Diceros bicornis minor: one gene and its partners. The protein of the gene in region 1 interacts with the protein of each later gene in a biochemical or structural test. Links are inferred from orthologs where the notes say so. Each region holds a gene or a part of one and is shown in the gene's direction. Other genes may lie near its edges.

Region 1 (7,985 bases):
ATAAATCACTTGGGGTGGGATGAGACCTCCCCACCCACAAAATGCATGCTTAGATGGCCCGTTAACTACTGCCTAAGAAGTTAGGGTCTGGTAACCACAGAATCTTTGTTCCCTGGGACACGGCTCCAGCATCCTCTTTCTCTCCCTTTCCACTGAAATAAATGTTGAACCAAGAATATTGTTTTGAAGGGGACCATATTACTAGCCTGAATGGAGAACCAAATTATTAGCCTATTCAAGGCATGCACATGTTTATCAGCCCCTTGTATTATCAAATTGAGTAAAAATAAGTCTAACAGCAACCAGAAACAGGACAGTCCAATTACTTCTCCCTCTCTGATAGTCTCAAGTGATCCAAGGGTACAATTAGACTATCAGCCTATCCTTCAAGCAGCCATCCAAGGATATTATTTCCCTTAACTGCTAAGAATAGGGCAGCAAGGAGTTTGGAGCTACATTTTTTGGTGAATGAATATACTTTGTGCTGCTGATCATGGATAGATCCACGTGCCTGATACTCAAGTCATTTGAGAGGGGGGCAGGGTTGACATTTTCTTGTTAACAGTAAGGAACCTAACCAGGACCAACCAACCACAGCTACCAAGAGATGGGTCAAGGGAGTCTTTGTGAACAGTGCTAAGATTTTGTCTAGGAAACAGTTCTGGGCCTAATTCTACAAGAGTAATTGAAGCTTAAAATTCATAATCATGAGGGGGTTGCAAACATTTTAACATAAAAAGATTTCAAACCCAGAGTTAGGAATCATCTACCCTAGTTAAACAGTGGACAATTATCCACAAATTAATTTTAATCACTGTAACTTCCTTGGGAGTTTCGAATATAAACTGACTGCTTTTCTTTCTGTCTCTTCCAAAGGCTTATATTAGCTTCTGGATCTTCTTAATTATCCATTCTCTCTAAGTAAGTGTTCTGTCCTTGGATCCCTTAACTCTACAAACTGGGGAGATCTCATTCATACTCACTGCCCTACTTCATCTGCCATTTGTTTGGTAATGATACCCAATCTGTATGTCTAGACTGTCATTTCTTTGGAGTAATAGCCCTGTATTACCAGTATATTCATGGATCTCTATACCTGAATGTCTCTTAGATGCCTTAATGTTACAAATAGGATTCATTCGTTCTTTCTTTTTTTTTTTTTTTTTGCTGAGGAAGATTCACCCCAAGATAACATCTATTGCCAATCTTCCTCTTTTTGCTTGAGGAAGAGTCGCCCTGAGCTAACATCTGTGCCAATCTTCCTCCGTTTTGTATGTGAATCGCCACCATAGCACGGCCACTAACAAGTGGTGCAGGTCCATGCCTGGGATCTGAACCAGAGAACCGGGGCTGCTGAAGTAGAGCATGCTGAACTTAACCACTAGGTCACGGGGCCAGCCCCTCTAACAGTTAACTTTTTCAACTCAGTAATACATGTATAAGGTTCAAAACCAAGAAGTTACAAAAGGATACACAGGGAAAAAAGTCTGCCCCTTGCACCTGACTCTTAGTCAGCCAGTTTCCCTTCCCAAAGGTACCCATAGCTATCAATTTCTTTGGTAAAGAATGCATTTCTAAAATGCATCTACTTCACATCCTCCCGTGGCTCATCACTCTCTCTAAGATAATGTCCCTGAGAAGCACATATGAGGCCTTCCAGGATTTAGTCCTGTTTCTCTCTCGTTTCTTCTAACAAGTCCCTCTGTACATTCAGATTTCATCCCCTGTAACCACTTGCTCTTCCCTGAAAAGCCTATAGCTGTGATTCTGCATATGCTCCTTCCTCACCCAGGATGCTTTCCCCAAATTCCTCTATCCCTCATGCCACCCTTTTCTTTGAGTAGAAAACACCATCTCTTAACACTCCCTTAAATATATTCAAGTTCAAGCCTTTGCGGACCCCCACAGATAAAGGTTATGCCCTCCTCTCATGATGCCCTTTGAGGACCATATATATGTTTTTATTACAGCACCTATCACATTACTTTGCCACTCGAAGGAAGATACTGTGTTCTGTTGTTTTCTGAGTCCTCAGAGTCCAGCAAACTGCCTAATACCTACTTAGTTGTTTAATAAATATTGAATATTAGTTACAATGTAACTACAACTAAGCTAAGGATATATTAGGCTGCATTAATAGCACCATAGTACTTAGAGTTTTTAGTTCTGGCCACCATATTTAGAGATAGATATTGAGGAAGTATACTATCCACCTGACAGCATAGGGTCTACTAACACTATGACGGCCTTAACAAGAAAAGAGTAAGAGGCCCACAGCTCCCTTAGAATCTCTGAAGAGCTACAGAGGAAGCAGCTCACAACTAACTCCCGAGCTCCTCCAGGAGACCAGAGGTTCTCCACCACGATATTGGGTCATCCTGGTATGTCTTCATCAGCGCTGAGATATAATGTAACGTATTTGTACTAATAAAAGCCGAAGTACTGAAGTTTTAAAACAATTTACTTTTAGCCCCCCTCTTAAACTAGAGTGGATTCAAGGTTACTTCTGTGAAGTCACTCGTCCCCACTTAAATTCCAATATACTTTGCTGAGATAGGGGTAGAGTTACAAATGATGGGTCTGGAAACTGGGTGTAAGCCACAGGTTACCTTACCTTCACTTCTACCCTGGAACAATGTTGAGCATCTGAATATTATCTATCCTGGGGGATAGGATGGGGAACGGGCATACAGAGAACTGCTATCCTAGCCTATGAGCTCCTCCAGGGTAGGGCCCATGAGTTCTCATTTTGTATCTATCCACAGTGTCTGGCAGTTAATAAATGCTTGAAGAAAGAAAGGAGTGAAGGTTTGGGGATGGATCAATGGGAGAATGAAGGGAAGAGAGAGTGGAAGAAAATGTGACAAAAACTTTTAATAAGAGATGAAGGAAAGAAAAAGCAAAGGAATAAAGGAGGCTTACTATTTACTTTCTTAGACACTGTTAATTGAATTCAATTTTTAACTCAACTTAAGGAAAAAAATAAATAAAAGCTGCTTAAACAGAGACTATGGAAGACTGGATAAGATGACCTCTAAGTTCCCACTCAATTCTTTGGTCTATGATTCTAGGTTTTATTTCCACAACAATGCTTTTGAGTGAATAGTGGCATTTAATGAATATTTATTAAATCAAATTATCATCTAAAATAACACCAACACAGAAACAAACTGATGCTTCTGCTAAAAAAAGTTTATATTACTTTCTTAATTGGGTCTTCATAGTTTCACGAAGAGATTGGCAACGGGTTTGCAAAATTCAGCTTCAGTTTGCCCCCCTGTAAGATGCTCTGTGGCTTAACTGGCAGGGTATAGAGCTGAGGTACCTTGTGATTTTTTTCTTTTAGGTTAAAAGAAATAACAGAACCTTTCTAGGCTAAATTCTAGACATGATGCAAATTTAAAGTAATTTACGGTGCTATTTCTGAGGGGAAAAATTAGTTTTTTTTTCCCCTAAGAGAATCCAGAGAGCTATTTCTGAGCTGCAGAGACTCACAAGGCAAACAAGTAAAGGTCAAGAAACCAGGGAGCAAAAATTACAACATCAACCACTGCCCGCCTCCCAAACATCTCGGTAATCACAGATTTCTTAACTTTTTGGCCCTTCAAAATATGTGCAGTCCATAATGCGGCAGGAACTGATTATTCATCCAAGGCTAGCTGTGACTCTTCTCTGCTTATTTGATGTAAGTCTAAGCTCAAAGGCTTTTGCTTTCCCTGCAGTACCTCACTTGGAAAAAAGCAGTGCTTAATGCATGTTATTTTGATTTCATAAATAGAAAGTATGTAAAAATCAGGAGAGTTGGGGAGCTTTCATTGGGAAGAAAAAAGATAACATTTTTATTCTTTTTTTTAAATATTATTTTCATGAAGAGTCCAACTCTTTGTTCATTGACTCTGGCCCAAATGCTATGACACTGCAAAACTGAGATCATATAAACTGGTTTTTTTGGCCACTTGATTTTGCCCACGTTAGAGGAACATAACTGACTGACAAACTCACTTAAAAATTCTATTACAAATAAGCATACTTTCTCCGCTTCCACTGTGATATGACATGATCCCATTTCTACAGATAATAGCTAAATCTTACTCACTGCAAGTACAATAAATATTTGCCGATTGATTTCGTTGATGCAACTGTAAGCCTCGTTTTCAGTTCCAAGTCTACATTTTACCGATAATCTAAAAGTATTAATTCCTATACATCAAAATGTCTGGGCAACATCCCACTTTCTGAACACATACATTCACACACATCCCCAACCTGCTCCTTCCAACAGAGCTTGCTTTGGCTTGCTTCGGGGAGGAAACTTCAGGAGAGCATCTAGCAAGAGGACAGACCGACGACGCTACTTGAGCTGCGGAGGTGCCCAGTACAACTTCCTGGCTCAAAGTAAAAAAAGAGTGGCGGCGGCGGCGGCGGCGGCGGGTGAGGGGGAGGGGGCACTCCATCAAAGATCCAAGTGACAACTCTCGATGACTTCCAGATTCCATCCGAACGGGACGAATGAAAAGGTTAGAAAACAGTGGCAGGGCGTTGTCCCCTGCCATGTTTCAATTCCCGCTGCACTAGTAACAAGCCACACATCTGCCCTACCCGAGTGGGCTTCTCCAGTGCTCACTCGCCCCTCGGAATCACGGGGAGAGCGGTCTCCTCGACCCAGGAGTCAGAATCAAGGGAGACCCCTGCGGGCAGAGACTCCGCTAACAGGGAAGGAGCCCAGGGGCTGCCGCCCTTCGCCACCCAGGAAGACCCCTCCCGCGCGCAGGTGGGCGGGCGCCCGGGGCCGAAGGGATGCCCGGCGAGGAAGGGGGTGCCCGCGCCCCTCGCAGCGACCCCTCCCCGGCCCGCCAGGGGGAGCGTCTGCGCCCGGCGGCCCGCGGCCGGGCCCCGGCGGGCGGCGCAGGGCGGCGGCTCGGCGCCGCGGCTCCCGTCCCGCGTCCCCACCCCCCCCCTCCCCGGCCGCCCGCCCCCGGCGCGGCCCTGCCCGCCCCCTCCGCCCCCTCCCGCGGCGCCATGCGCAGACTCAGTTCCTGGAGAAAGATGGCGACAGCCGAGAAGCAGAAACACGACGGGCGGGTGAAGATCGGCCACTACATCCTGGGGGACACGCTGGGGGTCGGCACGTTCGGCAAAGTGAAGGGTGAGGACCCCCGGCGCGAGGCTGGGCCCCAGCCCGGGATCCGGGCGGCTTGCGCCCCTCGCACCTCTTCGTCCTCCCCGCCCGCTGCGTTCCTCGTCTCCCGGGCTCGGCGGTCCCTGTCCGGGCTCCGGCGGGAGCGGAGCCCCGGGCCGCCGCGGGACTGCGGCGCGGCCCTCCGGGGCTGGGAGGGGGTGGGGTGGGGCGGGTTGCCATGGCGACGGCGCCGCGGCCCGAGGGGCTCGTCGGTGCGAGGGGCGGGGACGCGGAGGTGCGAACTTTCCCAGGCGGGGCAGTCGGGGGCTGCGCGGCGCGCCCCGAGTGCGGGGTCGGGGCGCCGGGGAGGCGGCCCCGCGTTCGCCCGGCTCTGCTCCCTCGGCGCGGGGCCAGCCCGTCGCTTCCCTGGCCGTCCTCGGCATTGTCCGTGTTTCCGTCCTCTTGAGAGGCTGTCGGCTTCCCTGCCCCGGCTGATTCTCAAGTGTGAAATAATGTGTTCCCCCCAAACTAGACTGCTTTGGGAGTAGCTTACAGATTTTCTTTTTTTTTTTAAGGGCCATCTTGTCAGAAAGGATCACTAATTTTTTTCGAAGCAGGTCATGAATTTATACCGGTCCTCTATTTGCGATGCATCGTTTATGTTCTGAAAGCAGACTCCGTGCCTTCGGTGTTTCTGAATGATCTGTTTTGCGGTCTCTCTGTGCCAAACCTGGTAGTTAGTGCAGATGTTGCCTCCAGATAGTATTTAATAGTTCATTAATGCAGTCGTTTCCATTTATTTTCACAGGATATTTACATTTTAATAAACAATTTAGTGCACATCATGTGAACCTTTTTTCTTTTCAAAGAAAGGTGCAGAATCTCTTACCCTTGTGTTTCAACACAGTATTCTGGAAATAACAAACTTGCTCTCCAGTCCGCCAATTCTGGCACAGAAAGCTTAATTGCAAACTTTGTGAGGCATAAGTATTTTTTTCTTTAAAATATTTGACTTTGTTGTTAGGGATGTAGAGGAAGGAAGTATGGAACTGATCAAAATAATTCACGCCTTGGCTTTGGATAAGTAATAGACTATGACTTGCATACGCTAAGCTCTTGGTAAATATTTGACTTGAAAGAAAAAAAAGTTTGTGAAAGTCTGTACAGTGAATTAACTAACTGAGCCTTGCTCTCCCAGAGCTAAATAAACATTTTCTGATTTTATCTAGGGATGGAAGAGGAGAACCCTTCCTTCTCTTGCCCTTTCTGAGTCATAGAACTGGAAAATTGCTGTATAGTCCACAGGGAAGCAACTGCCTAAACCTTCTTATGAAAATCAGCAAGGCCAACAATGCAAGAAAGTAAGAAGCAAATGCCAGAATAGGGTACTAACAGCTATTAGGGTGGGTCTGTATCAGGCCAGTAAGATGTTTCTGTGCCATTGAAGTTATTTATTTTTGGCTATGCTGTCTCTTGTTAGTGGTTACAAACTGCTTTTCATTTACAAGTATTGTAAGAAATGCTCATTAATACCCCCCCAAATAGTGATGACAATCTTGATGCCCTCACCCTGCCCAGAGTTCTGTTTGGATGAGGGTGCTCATCTTTCTCCTAACATAGACTTGAGCAGAGTCAGGTCTCATTTTCTTATTTGTGAGGTGGTTTTCGGCATGGCATATAAGAAAGCAAGAGGAAATTTTTCGTTTTCTGGATTTGATCTGTGGTGTGGCTGTGACATGAATCCCTTTAGTGACTGCTGTTCCTTAACCTTCACTCCTCCACATGTGACTCGCTTGAAGTATCACTCACTGTCAAAGTCAACAACCTCTCCAAATATAGAAAGGCCAATATTAGTCAAAGGATCATAGGTTTCATAGATATGATTGCATTTGTTTATAAATATCTTAGTTGATGTAGGTCAAAATCCTCAGCTAGTGCATTTTTTTAAGTTGTTAAACGATTGGGATGCTTTTTGCCCCAAGTAATAGAAAGTCCAACTCAACCTATCAAGAACATCTCTTTCTGTGGTTCTCTCTCCAGAGCAAGGAATCCCCAGCGTACCTCTCATGGGTCTCATTGGCTCATCCAGTCCCTCTGGCCAGGGGATGCCAGTTGGCTTACGCTTGTTCCTAAGTAGGCACTCGCAAGGGAGATAGCATTAGCCTTGGAGGAATGTGGCCCACTCTTGGATGTGTGTGTGTGGGGTGCATCTTCTTCTTTTTTTTTTTTTTTTGTGAGGAAGATCAGCTCTGAGCTAACATCCAATGCCAATCCTCCTCTTTTTGCTGAGGAAGACTGGCCCTGGGCTGACATCTATGCCCATCTTTCTCCACTTTACGTGGGATGCTGCCTCAGCATGGCTTGACAAGCGGTGCATCAGTGCGAGTCTGGGATCCGAACCCGGGCCTCCAGCAACGGAGCGAGCGCACTTAACCACTACACCACGGGGCCTGCCCCCATTTTCTTCTGAAGTACTTGGATAGTGTAGGGAGACAGGGTCGATACCTACACAGAAATGAGTATTAATTGTTAGGCTAGAGAAAGGGGGACATACAGTCCCCCAAATGCTTGATGAGCAGGCAAAAATAGCTACTATAGTGGTGATGGTAACTTACACTAGCCTTAATTTGACAAGACTCCTTTGAATAATACGGTTAGCTGTATGTGTCAGTGGAGACAATTCGGAGTAGATAGAACTTTTAAAATTAGTTATACATGTTGGTAAATTTAACATAGAAAAGGAATATAATAGAAGATGTGATATTGGTAGGCAGAAAAATTCCCAATATAGTGCTCTGTGCTTAGAAGAAATTTAATTTTGGGGAGGAGGGAACTGTAAATTCATAGTGATTATTTTGTTTCCTGT
Region 2 (7,757 bases), on another chromosome or scaffold:
GCTAGGACACAGAAAGTTTAAATAACTTACCCAAGACCAGGGAGCTAAGTAAGCAGTGGTGCCAGGATTGTAAACCTAGCTCTTTATTGCCTCAAAGCCCAAGCTCTTTCCACTATACTCTGCTACCATCTTCAGAGAACTTTGGTGACCAGTGGTAGATTCTGAGTTTTGAAGGGTAGAGATCCTGCCTTATTCTGTATACCTGCCTTAGCACTGAGTTCTTGCTTGCTGAAATATTAGTGGTAACAATTCATCTCTTGAGCATCTTCAGATTTCCCCTTTAGGAAGATATTTCAACTATTAGGTCAGTAACCCCACGAGAAAATCGTTGTTTGATTGTATATACTGTATTACTAAATAAGAGATGAGTAAAAGGAAAACAGAAGACACAATTCCTGTCTTCAAGGATGTTGTGGGGAAGAAGGGTTATGTATGTATATAAATAGAGGTATGTCTGCGTGTGTGTTTATAAACAGAATTGTCAGACCAAACATAATGTTGGAAGCAGTAAAAGTAATGAAAGTCTGACCTAATCATATGCCAGGACACCTCTCTCTGGGTCTGAAACATCTTTGTCAGACTGTAATGTATATTTACATCCTTGGTCATCACGGCGGCACACTGTGAAGAGCTTCGGCTGCTCTTACCCTCCTAGTTTAGGTAAATTTATAAGCAGAACCAGTTTATGCACATGAAGCTAACAAGGCCTTGCCCTTCTCTTTTTTGGTGAGCTTTTCTTCCTTACAGGGATGACTTTTTTCCTTTCTCCTTCTACTTTTCCAAGTTTTAGTTGGCCACTACTTAGCATGGTTAAAGCCCGTTCTCAGGAAAGAATCTGAGGAACACACTTAAATTAAATTGAAGATGATGAAGAAGTAAAGTATAGTGAAATTTTGCTCTGGTAATATCTAATGGTGAAACCTCAGCCATCACCTGGCAGAGTGAGTACCGTATGACAGGAAGGTTGTCTCTTATAGGTGTTCATCTATTGAGATCATTTGTAGGAAGCACATAGCACATTGCTGAACACATAGCAGGTACTAAATAAATGTTGGCTTCCTTCTCTGCTCTTCCTCCTCCTCCTCCTCTTCTTGCTTCTTTTTAATATACCTTTAAAATGGTGCCACACAATTGGTACACCCATGTTCATAGCAGTATTACTTACAATAGCTAAAACCCAAGTGTTCACTGATGGATGAATAGATAAACAAAATGTGGTGTGTATACATATACATATATATATATGTATACACAATAGAATATTATTCAGTGTTAAAAAGGAAATAAATTCTGCAATATGATACATGGAAAAATCTTGAGGACATTATGCCAAGTGAAATAAGCCAGTCACAAAAAAGACAAATACTGTATGATTCCACGTATATGAGGTACTTAGAGTAGTCAAAATCATAAAGACAGAAGTATAATGGTGGTTGCCAGGGGCTGTGGGGAGGGGAGAATTGGGAGTTAGTGTATAATGGGTTAGAGTTTCAGTTTTACAAGATGAAAAGAGTTATGGGGATGGATGGTGATGATGGTTGTGCAACAATGTGAATGTATTTAATAACACTAAACTGTACACTTAAAAATGGTTAAGATGGTGAATTTTATGTTATGTGTATTCTACCACAATAAAAAAAATGATGTCACAGATGGCCACCTAATCTTCTATATTCAAGATCAATTATGCTTAAAACATTAGGAAATTCTGTTGGGGAAGCATGTTTAGTGGTTAAACGATTGGGCTCAGGCAACAGGCTGTTTAGGTTCAAGTCGCAGTTTTCTTTGTTATTATTAACTCTGCAACTTGCTTGGGAAAATTACCAAACTTTCTGTACCTCAGTTTCTTTACCTGTAATATATGGATAATAGAGAAGTTACCTGTCCCATGAAGATGTTTATAAGAATTTAAAAAGGCAACACATGCTGTGCATTTGGCATGGCACCTGGCATATATGGTAAGTGCTCAACAAATGTAAGCAAGATTATAATCAAATTTTATGAGCTGATATTTGAGCAGCTTGGAGAGAAGAGCTTCACTGTTTCTTATTACCACCTTCCACTCTCATGCCAGCTTGTTGATCTCTTTCCTATTCCTGACATCTCAAAGATACATTTAGGATTCCAGCGATGACCTTCAGCTATATTTGAATACTTTCCCGGTGCATAAGTCTATATTCCCACATTAGGTATGTACCTAGATGCAAATCTTGAACATTATGTCTCAGTTAATTCATTTGTTCACGTCTGCTAAACAATGTTAACATTATGAATAGTAGTGAAGTCTTACTTATACCAAGAACAAATTTGGGATGTCATCTTTTATGATAAAAATCTAAGGTCTTCCTATGCACATGCTTGTGCACACACTTAAAATGGAATATTATAATTAAGTGTCATTTATTAAAATTATATAACTCCAGCAGCTACTTGGTTTGTCGATTTCTGCTTTCTTGTCTCAGTCTTGGAAAGGTCTAGCAATTATGATTTCATGAAACTAATGTGAGGAGAAAGACTGGGTTGGTGTGTAAGTGATTGTATATAAATATATGAGGGATGATTTGATTAGAAGCAATATTACACAATGATAGGATTGATGGTTTGAAATTAGACCTGAGTTCGAATCTTGGCTTTACCATTACAGGTATTGACTTAACTTCTCTTGTCTGTTTCCTCAACTGAGAATTGGGGAGAATGACATCTATTTACATGGTTGTTGTAAAGTTTACACGAGATAATGCCTGGCAAATAGTAAGAACTGAAGAAATAGTTACTATTTTATTTATTCTTTCCAGAAGGAAACTGATTGACAAATATTTGGGGTCTCTTTGAGCCATATCACTTGGTCAGCTTCTGTGATCTTTGGAACTTAATTCTTAATCCCTTTATTGTCACTTGCTCTTTGATAACAAAGAGAAAGTGATTACCAATTCATTTCAAAATGTGTGTATTACAGTTGATGGGTCATAGTAGCAGTTGTAAAGCAAACAACAGAGTGGGGGTGGGGAAGTGGATGGAGTAAGTTCAGTCACATACCTGGGAAAAGTCAATAATGAAGATGGAGCCTCAATGTGTATGTCTTACCAGAGAGAGGAAAACATGGGTACAAGATTTGAAGCAATAAATCAACTTAGAAATGCTGAAGTTCTTTCCTGGCATCAAACTTCATGCAATTTGGTTTCTCTCTTTGTTCTTATTTTCTCTACTACTAAAATTTAGGATAATAAAATTTAAATGTTTATAAAACCCACTTTAAGACAGAAAAAGTATGACCTTGAAATGCAAAGTGGAGCTATAAAAACTTGCTGAACGCGTTCATTAATTTAAATACATGTTCCTGTCTATTATTATGAAATGCATAATTTTGTTTGTACTGTATTTGGGTGACCACAAGTCAACAGTAAGGTAATTCACAAGTAAACACCCTGGCCTTAGATGTAGAGGCAATAAAGTAATCACACCAAAATTTTTACTTTCATTTGAATTTTTCAGTTTAAACTCAACGTGCCCTTGCTTTTACACAACAGGATTAGGGATTAAACACTTGGCTCTTTAAAAACCATCAGACAGGCACAAAATCTACACACCAAAAACTCGGGGAAGGTAAGGTGCCCACACCTGGGAAAGCTTAGATGAAGATGGCGTTTCTCTAAGTCAAGTCAGAGGTAACGCGCTACCTTCGCTGCAAAGACTGCTTGGATTCCTTTCTGTGTATTAGTCAAGATGTTTTGCTGACTGAGTCTAGGAAATCTACAGGAGGGCGGGTTAGGTTACACGCTGTCCACTTGTCATCGTAGTCTCTAACACACACAAAAGCCTTCCTTAAAAACGCAAGCCGGACTGAAAAACTTAGGACAGACAATGAACACATCCTGGGCGGGTAATGGACAAAGCGATAACTCCTCTTACCTTCTTATAGGATTCCACCCCCCGCCCCCATAAGTACATCTCCTAAGAGATCTCTGCTACAGTTGGAGCTCGCCTAAGCCTGAAAAGAACAAAGCTTGGTTCTTCTCTCTGACACTCAAAGGAAGCGCTAAGGTGAACACATCTGACACTGCCGCGGAACTTTCCGGCTCTCTATGGCTGCATTTTGATACAGGAAAGACATATTTTCGTTCCCCTTTCAAAATGCACCTTGCAAAGGTAACACGAACCCGGCTAGGATCTCGGAAAAGGGGAGGAGGAAGAAGGCTCGGAGAAGTTGGCAGCGGTGACTACCCGGTTCGGCAGAACCTGGCGTGTGGGAGGGTCCAGGAGCTTCCCCGGGGGGCTGGTTCTGCTCCTGCCGCTGGCTCTGTCGGTCCTCGAGCGTCGGAGACTGGACCTGGAGAGCGGCCGCGACTGTCCCCCACCTGCGGGCTGGGCTGGGGCTGGACGGTAGGGACGCGGACCTGCAAGGAGCGCGCGCGCGGGAGGAAGGCTGGGAGTCAGAATCGGGAAAGGGAGGCGCGGGGCGGCGAGGGAGGGAAGGAGGCGAGAAGGAAGGAGCGGTGGGGGTGCGGAGGGGGTGGAGAAAGCCGCTAGAGCAAGTTTAGGGCCGGACCAGGCAGCGCCGGCTTTTAACCTGGGCAGTGGGGGCGGGGGAAGGAGCAAGAGGAAACGGGAGGTGTGTGGGGTAGGGTGGGTTGGGGAGTTGGAAGCAAATGACATCACAGCAGGTCAAAGAAAAAGGGGCGAGCAGCAGGCACCGAGGAGAGTAGGGCGTTTGGCATTAGGAGCGCAAGCCCAGCCTGCCCCGGAGGGATCCCGGCGCCCCCAGAGACCATGCAGAGGTCGCCTCTGGAAAAGGCCAGCGTCATCTCCAAACTTTTTTTCAGGTGAGAGGGTGTCCAGCCGAGCTTCGGAAGGACACGTGCCCGTGAAAGAGGAGGGCGTGTATAGGCTGGATTCTGGGGAAAGAGGAATAGTTTTTAAAAAGATGCGCTATCATTCGTTGTTGTGGAAGAGAACGTGGATTTTGTGGAATAAAATAGAAAACATTAAGAAGAGATAAAAGAATAAACTGAAGCCCATTGTTTGGGTAGAGAGCCTTAGCTTAATATTGAAGTCTTAACTACTTGCAACTGAAAGTCAGGCTCTCAAGACCCAAGTGTGCTACTGTGCATTGTTGTTTTAGATTTTTCTAAGAAATTTATGAATTATAAACTTGTTAATAGCAAATACTTAAGTTTGGTTACTTGTTTTCCCCCTTCCTGCCTTGGAAACTCAGATGTCTTCTTGGCACACAGACAACAATGCCATGCCTGCCTGTAGTAGGTGCTCAGGAAACATTTGTTGACTGAATTTTGAACTTTTTAAGGGGAGAGGGGTGAAGCGAGTAATATGTGCTTAAGTAAAGTTTTTATTGTTATGATACTCAGTAAATCGAACAAGCATTTGCCGCAATTCCATTATTCTTCCTTTTAAGAATGAAAGCAAATGTTTTGAAATATCTATCTTAAAAAAAAAGCCAATTTACGAGCTATAAATTTTAAAAGAGGGGTCAGAATTATCATGGAAATGTGAAGCCATGGGAATAGACTCAAGTTATATCCAATTGACATTTAATAAATTGTACTCATCCTATTTTGCATGCGATAAGCCATAAAAGCTTGCAAACTTCATCTAATGAGATTTTTAAAAATAGAGTCTAAGTTCAGAGTCTTAGGCAAAGTGTAATTAGATGTAGCATTTCATATTTGAAGTCTTCTTTGGATACTATATCTGCTTTGTTCCTGTTAAACTTGTATGAATGAATGAATAGGTACAGCTCTCCCATGGGATATTGCTTGACTCATAATTATCCAATGAATCAGCATACTTAAGGTATCAGAAAAGCCAAATATATTATAAATATGCCCATATGTGTGTGTTGAGAAGGTACTCGGCTTTCACATCTTTCTATGTTTTATTCCCTGCATGAGCAATAAGCCTGGGACTTAGGTGCTAAGGAGAGGCCATTGACCGTTGAAGGAGAGCTCCTCCCTGTGGATGAGAGAGAAGGACTTTACTCTTTGGAATTAATCTTTTGTGTTGATGTTTTTAGCACCTTTTGTTACTCCATCTATAAAAATTGGATTATCTGTTGATCTATTTTCCTACTACTTACCAAATCAGAATGCTAACTGGCATAAATTGTAGACTTTTTAGTAGAGCACTTTGAGGAACCTAAATGCCAGTCAGTGTAAAAATGCAGTTTTCAGAAGAATGAATATCCCATGGCTACTTCTAAGTACTAAGTACTAAGGAACTTTCAATGAGCTCATTGTTGATTTAAATTAGATCATTGTTGATCTATTAAAGTTTTTTTTTAAACAGATCCCCTTATAAATTTTAGTATAGTTTAAAAAATGCTCTCAGGTTGATTTGTAAAAAAAAAAAAAAAAATGTATTATAGTGGCTACTAGATTTGTTAAGAGCATACTCATTCCTCTTCTCCAAACTATTTCATAACAAGTTGCTCTAAGAATAGGTATATTTAAAAAAGTTAAGTTCCTACTATTTATAGGAACTGACAATGACCTAAAGTATCAGTGATTATAAACTTCCTTCTGGGTTGCAATTCTGAAAGGATAAGAAATTTATTTTCTGGGTTGAATTAGACAGTACTGCTTAGGGATCAAGGGTGTTAGATTTTGGATTTGGATTCTTTTGATTCAAATCCCAGATCTGCTACTTAGTAGCTGTGTGACCTGAGGCAAGTCCCTTAACATTTCTGTGTTTGTGTGACTTGACCTTTAAAACTTGGAGACTAATAGGACCTATGTCATAGGGGTTAATCTGTTGAGAATAATGCATGTAAAGTGTTTGGCCCAGTAAATGTTGGCTGTTATTATTATTATTATTATTAATTACCATACTTTTACATTCTTTACAATACCACATACCTTGTTTATATAAGATAATCAGTTCATCTTTGTTGAATATAATTCGTGACTTTCAGTCTGTATATGCAATGAATGGGCCTGGTTGAGAATTTAGTTTAGGTAAAATCTCATCTAACATGGCCTTACTAGATGTATAGGAAAAAAGTCGTATGCTTATATCATGTGTTGTTAAATGCCTTAGAATTTAACATTCTGAATATGATCCCTTCAGTCTCAGAGTCATAAAAAAATAAAGCTATTATGGTCTGGGTTATGGATTATATTAAATATCTCTTTCATTATTTAGGTTTTGTTATTGGAAAAGTTAATAAAATTTGGGAAAAATTTAAGTACTTTCTTAATTTTGCATGAGTTTCACATCAAGTACAAAATCTGAAGTGTCGTAATGCTTATATATGTATTTTAATAAACATAATCTAAAAAAGAATTTTAACACAAAATTTAAAATAGTTTATGAATATCATAGAAAACAAGTAGATTAACTTAAAGCTTTTATGAAATAGGAAGATGTTTTTGAACTAGAGGTGATATATTTGCATAGAATTTATGATTCATATACAGTGACAGTGATTTATAAATGTTTACCAACAGAGATGATGTTTTTCATTTTTGAGCAATTTTCCAAGTTTACATTTTCTTTTCTTTTTTTTTTTTCGTGAGGAAGATTGTCCCTGAGCTAACATCTGTGCCCATCTTCCTCTAATTTGTATGTGGGACACTGCCACAGCACGGCTTGATGAGCGATGTAAGTCCATGCCCGGGATCCGAACCTGTGAACCCCGAGCTGCCAAAGTGGAGTGTGCAAACTTAACCACTATGCACCCAGGCCAGCCCCCCAAAGTTTACATTTTCTGATAACTTTTAAGATAGTTATTCAGTTTGTTTTCT
Region 3 (7,115 bases), on another chromosome or scaffold:
TATACAGAGCCCAATTCTAGACCCTGGAGTGAAGGTGGGGGTAGGGAGCAGAGAGATGGGTTGGAAGAGATGCTCAACACCTCACTCATAAGGCCATTGGTATATCCTTAGTCCCTCCCTTCATAGGACTTTCATGACCCTCCTAGGAACCCTCCTGCCCAGCTTCTGAACTCTTCCTGCTTCTAGTCTTACTCCTGCAACCTAGCTTCCACACTGACAATAAATGTCTTTCAGCAAAATCAAGTATAGGCAGGAGAAGGCTGAGATAATCCTAAAGGGAGGCCCTAGGCTTCAGGACAAAATCCAGATTCCTTAGCAGTCAATTCCTTGAGACTAGGGCTCCCTGCCCACCTTGGGTTTCACTCTTACCTTCCTTCTTGAAACCATCCCTCCCAAACCTGGGCACACAAACCACTTGTATACCTCTTCCCATGCTGATCTCTCTGCCTGGAACGCCCTCCCTTTAACTACTTGCCCTTAACTACTCAGCCTGTGAGGCTGGCCACCAAGATTAGAATCTTCCACAAGCCAAACCATCTACCAGGTGCTGGGAATGCAACCTGTGAGCAGAAACTGATTAGTCCCCATCCTTAGGGCACTCAGAGGAGAGCCCTGAGGGATTCAAATGATGACCAATTGAGCTAAATGCTGTGAAGGCCCAGCACACGCTGCACCACTGCTAGGAGAGCTTGAAACAAAGGAGCCTGACCTACACCTGAGGGTCACAGAGGGCTTCCCTGACTTGGCAACCTGTGCTGACACCAGAAGGAAGCTTAGATTTAACTAAGAAAAGGAGGGTGGGATATGGTGGGCCTTCCAGGCAGAAAAACAGTGTGTAGTGCTGTGTGGGAGAGAACTGATGAATTGGAGGAGCAGGGGAGGGCCTGTGTAGCCACAAAACACAGTATGGAGCATGCCAGAGCTAACCACACTGAATCTGCATCAGGGCAGTAAAACAAAGGGAAGTCACCCAGCCCTGAGCTGGCAGTCAGCAGGCTCTCTGGTCCTGGCCACACACCTTTTCCCCAGCCCCTCCACCACCACCTACAACAGCCCTCACCTCAGCATTCAAGGGAAGACCTGTCTCACCTCCTAAATGCTGGTAATAGGAGATGGAGGCTTCTGCTCCTGGAGAAGAGGTCATAAGGCTCTGGCAGGGAAACCCAAAAGGCTCTTTCCAGCTGTGCAGGTCCTTGTGGGCTCCCTCCACAAGAGGAATGGTGAGACGGACTTCCTTAGAAAAGCCTCTCCAATTTCTTCCTTGGGATTCTTACCTTGTATGGAATGGAAATGGGGCGCGTGGGGTGAGGGGAGAGAGGGGCAGCTCAGGGGCTCAGAGGAAAAGTGGGTAAGATGCAGGTGAACTCTGGGCCAGGAGTGGTGGGCGGGGCCGGAGTGGAGAGCCCAGCTAGGACAGGTTCTGCCCACAGGGCATGGAGGGGAGGAAGGAGCTGGGAGAAGCTCTGCGAAGAGTCTTCCCCAAAGGCTGGGTGGGGGCCACCAGCAGGCTTCCACCTCTGTGAGGTTGGAGAAGAGACGCCCTAGGTGAGAAGAAGCCCAAAGGCTCAACCCAGCCAGCACAGGTAGTAGACTTTGTTGTGGGAGGCGCGCGGCTGATTCTCAGACGCATCCCACAGCTTAGAGATGTCACCCCGCTAGAAGGGGTCGGGCTCCCTTTGCTGACCGAGAGCCCTCCCCGGAAGGAGTGAGGCGTCCAGGTGGGACCCTGACCCTGGCCAGGTGGGGGCCTGTATGCCTGGAGGGAGCCGCGGGGCCCCTGAGGGAAGCAGGTGTGGATAGGGCTAAAGTCCAGCTGGGGCTGAGAGGGAAAGGCGGCTGATGCACGCCCGTCCCCGCCCCTCGCTGCAGCCGATGTGGTCCTCAGGGTCGGGGCGGCACCTCCCTCGGCTCAGGACTGTCCTTCAGTGGCATTGTGGCTCACCAGCATCCCCACCAAGACAGGAGAGGCCGGGGGTGGTTGGAAGAAAACTCCGAGGTGGAAAGCCTGAAGCCGGCAGGGTCTGGTCGGGTCTGGTCGTCGGGGAAGTCCACCACATTCCATTTCTCCCTCTCCTCTGCTGGCATCGCCATCGCGGTCCTCGTGGGCTCCAGCGCAACAGCCGAATTCCCCTTTCGGCTCTAAAGAGGCGGGGGGATGGGGAGGGCACTGCCAGAATCGTCTTATAGAGTCACGGACGGTCGTGGGAAGGGACCCACTGACCCGCGCGAAGCGAAGGGCACCTTCCGCGGCCTGGGTCTCGGGAGGCGGGGCGGGGAGAACTCCGGGAGGGGCCGGGAAGAGGTGGGCAGGGGGAACCAGGGGGCGGGGCTCGCATGGGACCTGCCGGCTTCTGGAAAGGGGTCAGCGGTGCAAAGGTCCCATCCTGGAGCATTCGTGAGGGACCTGGAGGCTGTACCTCACGGATGCTGATTCCACAGGAGCTCCCTGGGCAATGTTCAAGAAACAGAGAGCCGGATTTTCGAGGCGGGAAAACTGTAATAATGTGACTGAATGATGATGTCTTTGGGGAGAGGAGGTAGGAGGTGAAGGAGCGAGTGCTCTTAAGGGCCGAGGAAATCCTCTGCGTGTACAGGCACGCGTGGAGTCGCTCACGTCTCCATTTGTGCCGAGCGCCAAGGAAGGCGCAGGCACGACCAGAATCGTGGACAGCGAGCTTGATATTGCGGTGAGTGAAGGGAGGGGTCCCCACGACCACAGGAGAAGCAAAACATGTGGGTCGGGTCGAGTTCAGTGTTGGAAAAGCTAAAGGACAGCGAGTTGGGGGTGCCAAAGAGGCAAGCGATGGAGGAGTCATCAGGCTATGGAGGAGCACAGCCAGGACAGCGCCCTGAGGAGCCGAGGTCCTTCCCCAAGCCTACGAGGCCCTTTGTCAACTGCCTCCCACCCCCTCACACCTTCTTCGAGTCTTTGCTCCGATCGCCCCGTCACCTTGCCCTCCCCCACCCCACCGAATGTAAACTCCAAAAAAAAAAAGGTCTCATCTGTCTTGTTCACAGTTGTATCCTCAAGACCTAAAACAGGGCCTGGAACCCAAGAGGTGCTCACTAAGTAAGCTGCGTGCATTTATTCTGCCAGGCGTTGTTCTGGGTGCTTTACCTTAACTTTCTCTTAACTCAGTTACTCTCCACAACACCACGTGAGGTAGGTACCAGTATTTCCAATCTCATTTCACAGGTGAGAAACTAAGGCTAATACATCCTCCAAAGAGAAAACAAAATACTATGTACAATCCGCCCTTTATTTTGCACAGACGATAGCGGCGGCTATCATCCAGATCTGTGCTGCCCCGCCTTGAAAAAATATCTGAGAGGGGCGCTCCCAGCAGTCTCTCCTAGTCAGGGGATGTGCGGGAGCGGGAGGCTCCACAGATTCACGCGCCGTGCGGCGGAACGTGAGGCCGGCAGGCAGCCAGGGACCCACGTTCCACTGCCTCCCTGTGCGCGCGCCTCCTTCAGGGCACGCTTGGCCCCCCGGGCCGCGGGCCACCCTGGAGGGTGATTAGGCCCCAGGGGTCGAACCCGGAGGTGCGTCCTCCCGGGCCGTTCCGTTCCTGCGGGGGCTCTCCGCGCAGCCTAGGCGGGGCGGGGTGGCCGTCCCGCGGCCCACAGACCGACTTTTCTTTCGTTCGCCGCCGGCTTTCCGCTCCATACCTCACTCTCGCCTTAGTCTGGCTTTGCATTAAGTCCCTCCGGACCCGGAGTGCCTCGGCCAATACCATCAGGGCACAAACCTCTTGAGGGAAGAGCAGCCTTCTGCGCATGGAAATCTGTTAGGGTTTAATAGTTCACCCGAGCACCGTTTATTTAAAAAGTTTAGTACCGTTTTTCTCACATCGCCCACCATCACTCAGAGTTGCGACCTCGGCTTTAGGCTCCCTCTCCGTGGCGCCCCCAGCCGCCGAGCGGAGAGGCGGGGCTCGCGCTGCGCCACGTAGGAGCCGTCAGGCGGCCGGGCGAGCCTTCTGGGAACGCGCCGCGCGCCTCCCCTATTCTTCGGCTCAGACGTCACGCCTCAGTCGACACCTGAGGATCCTTTTTAAGGACTCGGTCGTGTTGATTTCAGAACGTATTTGTACGGCGCTGCCAAGTTATGTTGCGTGGCGGAGGGGACCATGAGGTCCTGTTATTTCACCCAGTCCTATGGGCTACATGGCACCGCCATCTTGAGCAGGAGTGACGCACAGCGGTCGCCATTTTGTTCGAGAAGGCGGGTATATCCGGTTCCGGCGTAGGTTGTTCTCTCTTTTCCTCGGCGGGGCGGCAGCGCGAGTGGCTGTAGTGGTCGTGTCTCTGAGCTATCCGGTTCCATCCTCGTCGCTGCGGCGACACTCGCACCCGCCACCGCCATGACTGAACAGATGACCCTTCGTGGCACCCTCAAGGGCCACAACGGCTGGGTGACCCAGATCGCTACCACTCCCCAGTTCCCAGACATGATACTGTCGGCCTCGCGAGGTATGGCTGAGGTGTGGGGCAGAGGATTGGGGGAGAAGGGGGTTGCATGCACTGCGGGCTAGGCCAGTGGCGCGCGAGTTGGCTGCCCGGAAAACTCCGTCCGGGTGTGAGTTGGGCCATGCAGATCTTTGCCTAGGCCTCAGCCAAGATAAATCCCTAAGGCATCCCCGCTTAGCAGCTACCGAGACATAGATCAGCTCTTAGCTGCCAGGGAGTTGCGGGGTTGGGTGTTTTTCTCTTATTTCTTGCCCGCCTCCGTGCAGGTGTGGCTAAGTGTGTGCCCAGAAACCTACCGATCGGGCGGGGCAGTGATGAACCCAACATGCCATCTGAGAGCCCATGCTGAGACCCAGAGGCTGTTTCTGAGCTGCCGCCCGGACCTCTGCTGGGTGGGAAGTGGGTGGACTCCAAGGGGACCTCATGACTTCAGTTTCCCGGCTGCCCCGCGCCTGCCCTTTCTGCCCTGTTTTTTTTCCTTCTCCGTGTGCGTGACTGCGTTTGGAGGCTTCTTGTGCCTTCCGTTTGTGCCCACACTGTTGACGCTTGTCTGAGGCTAGGATCATGTCTTGTACTTAAAAGCTCCCTGAGTGCTACACATGTCAGTGAAAGCATCCGATCCTGTAGCGTATAAAGCAAGTTTTCCTAATTTCAGCACTCTGGTAGCCCTTAGCAGTAGTCGCCCATAGTTCGTCTTCCCACAGCCAGGCTGCTCTGTTTGTGCATTAGACCTCAGGTAAGTCTCGAAGTAGATGTTGAAGTGGTCTGAATATCGGAAAGGGGAATCCATGGTCTTTAATAAAGTTCTGCTCACTTCAGTTAAATTCTCGTGGTACTGCTTAGGTCTATTTGGCTGTTTATTCTTGAATAGTGAGTCACTTGGATTTGACAAGTAACCACTTTTATAGCCTGCAGTTACCCTCCCCACTTAAGTGTCCTTAATTTGTCGTTTTGTAAGTCTCAGTGACCTTGAGGCATCTTGGGTTGTCCTGTAGGTCAGCAAGTGAGTGTCGAGGTTTGTAACTGGATTTCCTTTTTTGTTTTACCTTTTCTTAGACAAGACCATCATCATGTGGAAGCTGACCCGGGATGAGACCAACTACGGCATCCCACAGCGTGCTCTTCGGGGTCACTCCCACTTTGTTAGTGATGTGGTCATCTCTTCAGATGGCCAGTTTGCCCTCTCAGGCTCCTGGGATGGAACCCTTCGCCTCTGGGATCTCACAACGCAAGTAGCTGCTCACTTAGCTCTGGGGCCTGGGCAGAAAAGAGGTAGATACTGTTGGGAAGTGGTTTCCCAGGGGCGATTAGGTCCGTTGAGGGCACTGTAAGGCAAAGAGCACCTAGAGATGGTTGGCGTTGTTTGGTTTTCCTTCTCGTTGCTCTTAATGAGTGATGCAGAATTGTTGAGGAGTGGTCTGGTGAGCAGTTTTGTCAGATATTGCAGTTGGGAGTAGGCGACAGTTTGAACATGTTTTATTTTGGGAGCTCAGTCTTGGGATGGTCAGGCATAATAGAGGATCCCAGTGATGACAGACGACATTGTCAGCCAATCCCCACGTGGGAATGAGGACATGTCCTGCAATTCTGAAGGGATTCTCTGACATATCTCAGCCAACCACCTGCTGTGATCAGAGCCATGACCAGGGTTGTGTGAGTAATGCAGCTCCACTAGGACAGGAACAAGGTCCCCAGGGAAATAGTCTGACTGTGGAAGAATGTTTGCAAAGTCGAGAGAGTGACCAAGTCTTCCCTCTCAGGGGCACCACCACACGCCGATTTGTGGGACATACCAAGGATGTGCTGAGTGTGGCCTTCTCCTCTGACAACCGGCAGATTGTCTCTGGCTCCCGTGATAAAACCATCAAGCTATGGAATACTCTGGGTGTATGCAAATACACTGTCCAGGTAAAGTGAAGGCACATGTTGTTGAAGGTTTTCTCCCATCCTTCTTAACCTTGGCTGTATCTGGTGATTCAAGCCTCATCTGGAATCTAAAAGGGGTCTGTTGATCTTAAAGGTTTGGGTTCTTGGGATGTGAATGCAAGGCTATCAACATGTATCCCATGTAACTGAGGGGAGGGGTGGGGGTCTAGAGTTTTATGGGACAAGACAGTTTTGCCTTATTTCCTTTCCATTCTCTGTAGGATGAGAGCCACTCGGAGTGGGTGTCTTGCGTCCGCTTCTCACCCAACAGCAGCAATCCCATCATTGTCTCCTGTGGCTGGGACAAGCTAGTCAAGGTGAGCTTGGAGCAGGGGTGTAGGGACTTTACCAGCCAGCATATGTACCTGCTTCTTCCCAGGTGGTCATAGCCTCCAACTTTGAAAGCTTTGTGCCGCGATTGACATTTTTCCTTTTGCTATTTTCTCAGTACAGCCCATCAGTTTTTGATATTTGGTCTGAAGTAGCTAATTGAAAGGCAGCACACATAGCATTTGTTACCTGTTTTAATCCTAATTGCTTTCCTGTGGCCTAGACAAATTCTTTAACCTTTTTTGTTAGTGATGGAAAGAAAAACGGCTACCCTATTCAGGAATGCTTTTAAACAAGATGCCTGTGCCTTTTTTTGTTTGGCTTGAGCCCTCCTGACCCTGGCTGATTCAGAGCCAGGTTCTTTACCTATGACCCCCCCACTCCCC

Evidence for each region. The genes of interacting proteins can lie anywhere in the genome.
Region 2: the proteins of PRKAA1 (region 1) and CFTR form a complex in vitro, tested with the Homo sapiens proteins (2 studies listed by BioGRID, with this or other methods). The link is inferred for Diceros bicornis minor from reciprocal best matches to the Homo sapiens genes PRKAA1 and CFTR.
Region 3: of the proteins of PRKAA1 (region 1) and RACK1, one has a biochemical effect on the other in vitro, tested with the Homo sapiens proteins (2 studies listed by BioGRID). The link is inferred for Diceros bicornis minor from reciprocal best matches to the Homo sapiens genes PRKAA1 and RACK1.

The regions. Positions count from the first base shown.
Region 1 is NC_080759.1:29,093,103-29,101,087, forward strand, and holds the start of PRKAA1 (5'-AMP-activated protein kinase catalytic subunit alpha-1), read left to right. Parts: upstream 1-4,968; 5' UTR 4,969-5,019; coding exon 5,020-5,146; intron 5,147-6,348; exon of another isoform or gene 6,349-6,470; coding exon of another isoform or gene 6,471-6,480; intron 6,481-7,985. UniProt on the Homo sapiens protein: Catalytic subunit of AMP-activated protein kinase (AMPK), an energy sensor protein kinase that plays a key role in regulating cellular energy metabolism.
Region 2 is NC_080742.1:68,339,057-68,346,813, forward strand, and holds the start of CFTR (cystic fibrosis transmembrane conductance regulator), read left to right. Parts: upstream 1-4,726; 5' UTR 4,727-4,767; coding exon 4,768-4,820; intron 4,821-7,757. UniProt on the Homo sapiens protein: Epithelial ion channel that plays an important role in the regulation of epithelial ion and water transport and fluid homeostasis. Mediates the transport of chloride ions across the cell membrane.
Region 3 is NC_080740.1:94,223,876-94,230,990, reverse strand, and holds the start of RACK1 (small ribosomal subunit protein RACK1), read left to right. Parts: upstream 1-4,084; 5' UTR 4,085-4,367; coding exon 4,368-4,476; intron 4,477-4,778; exon of another isoform or gene 4,779-4,846; intron 4,847-5,529; coding exon 5,530-5,701; intron 5,702-5,992; exon of another isoform or gene 5,993-6,071; intron 6,072-6,233; coding exon 6,234-6,381; intron 6,382-6,620; coding exon 6,621-6,716; intron 6,717-7,115. UniProt on the Homo sapiens protein: Scaffolding protein involved in the recruitment, assembly and/or regulation of a variety of signaling molecules. Interacts with a wide variety of proteins and plays a role in many cellular processes.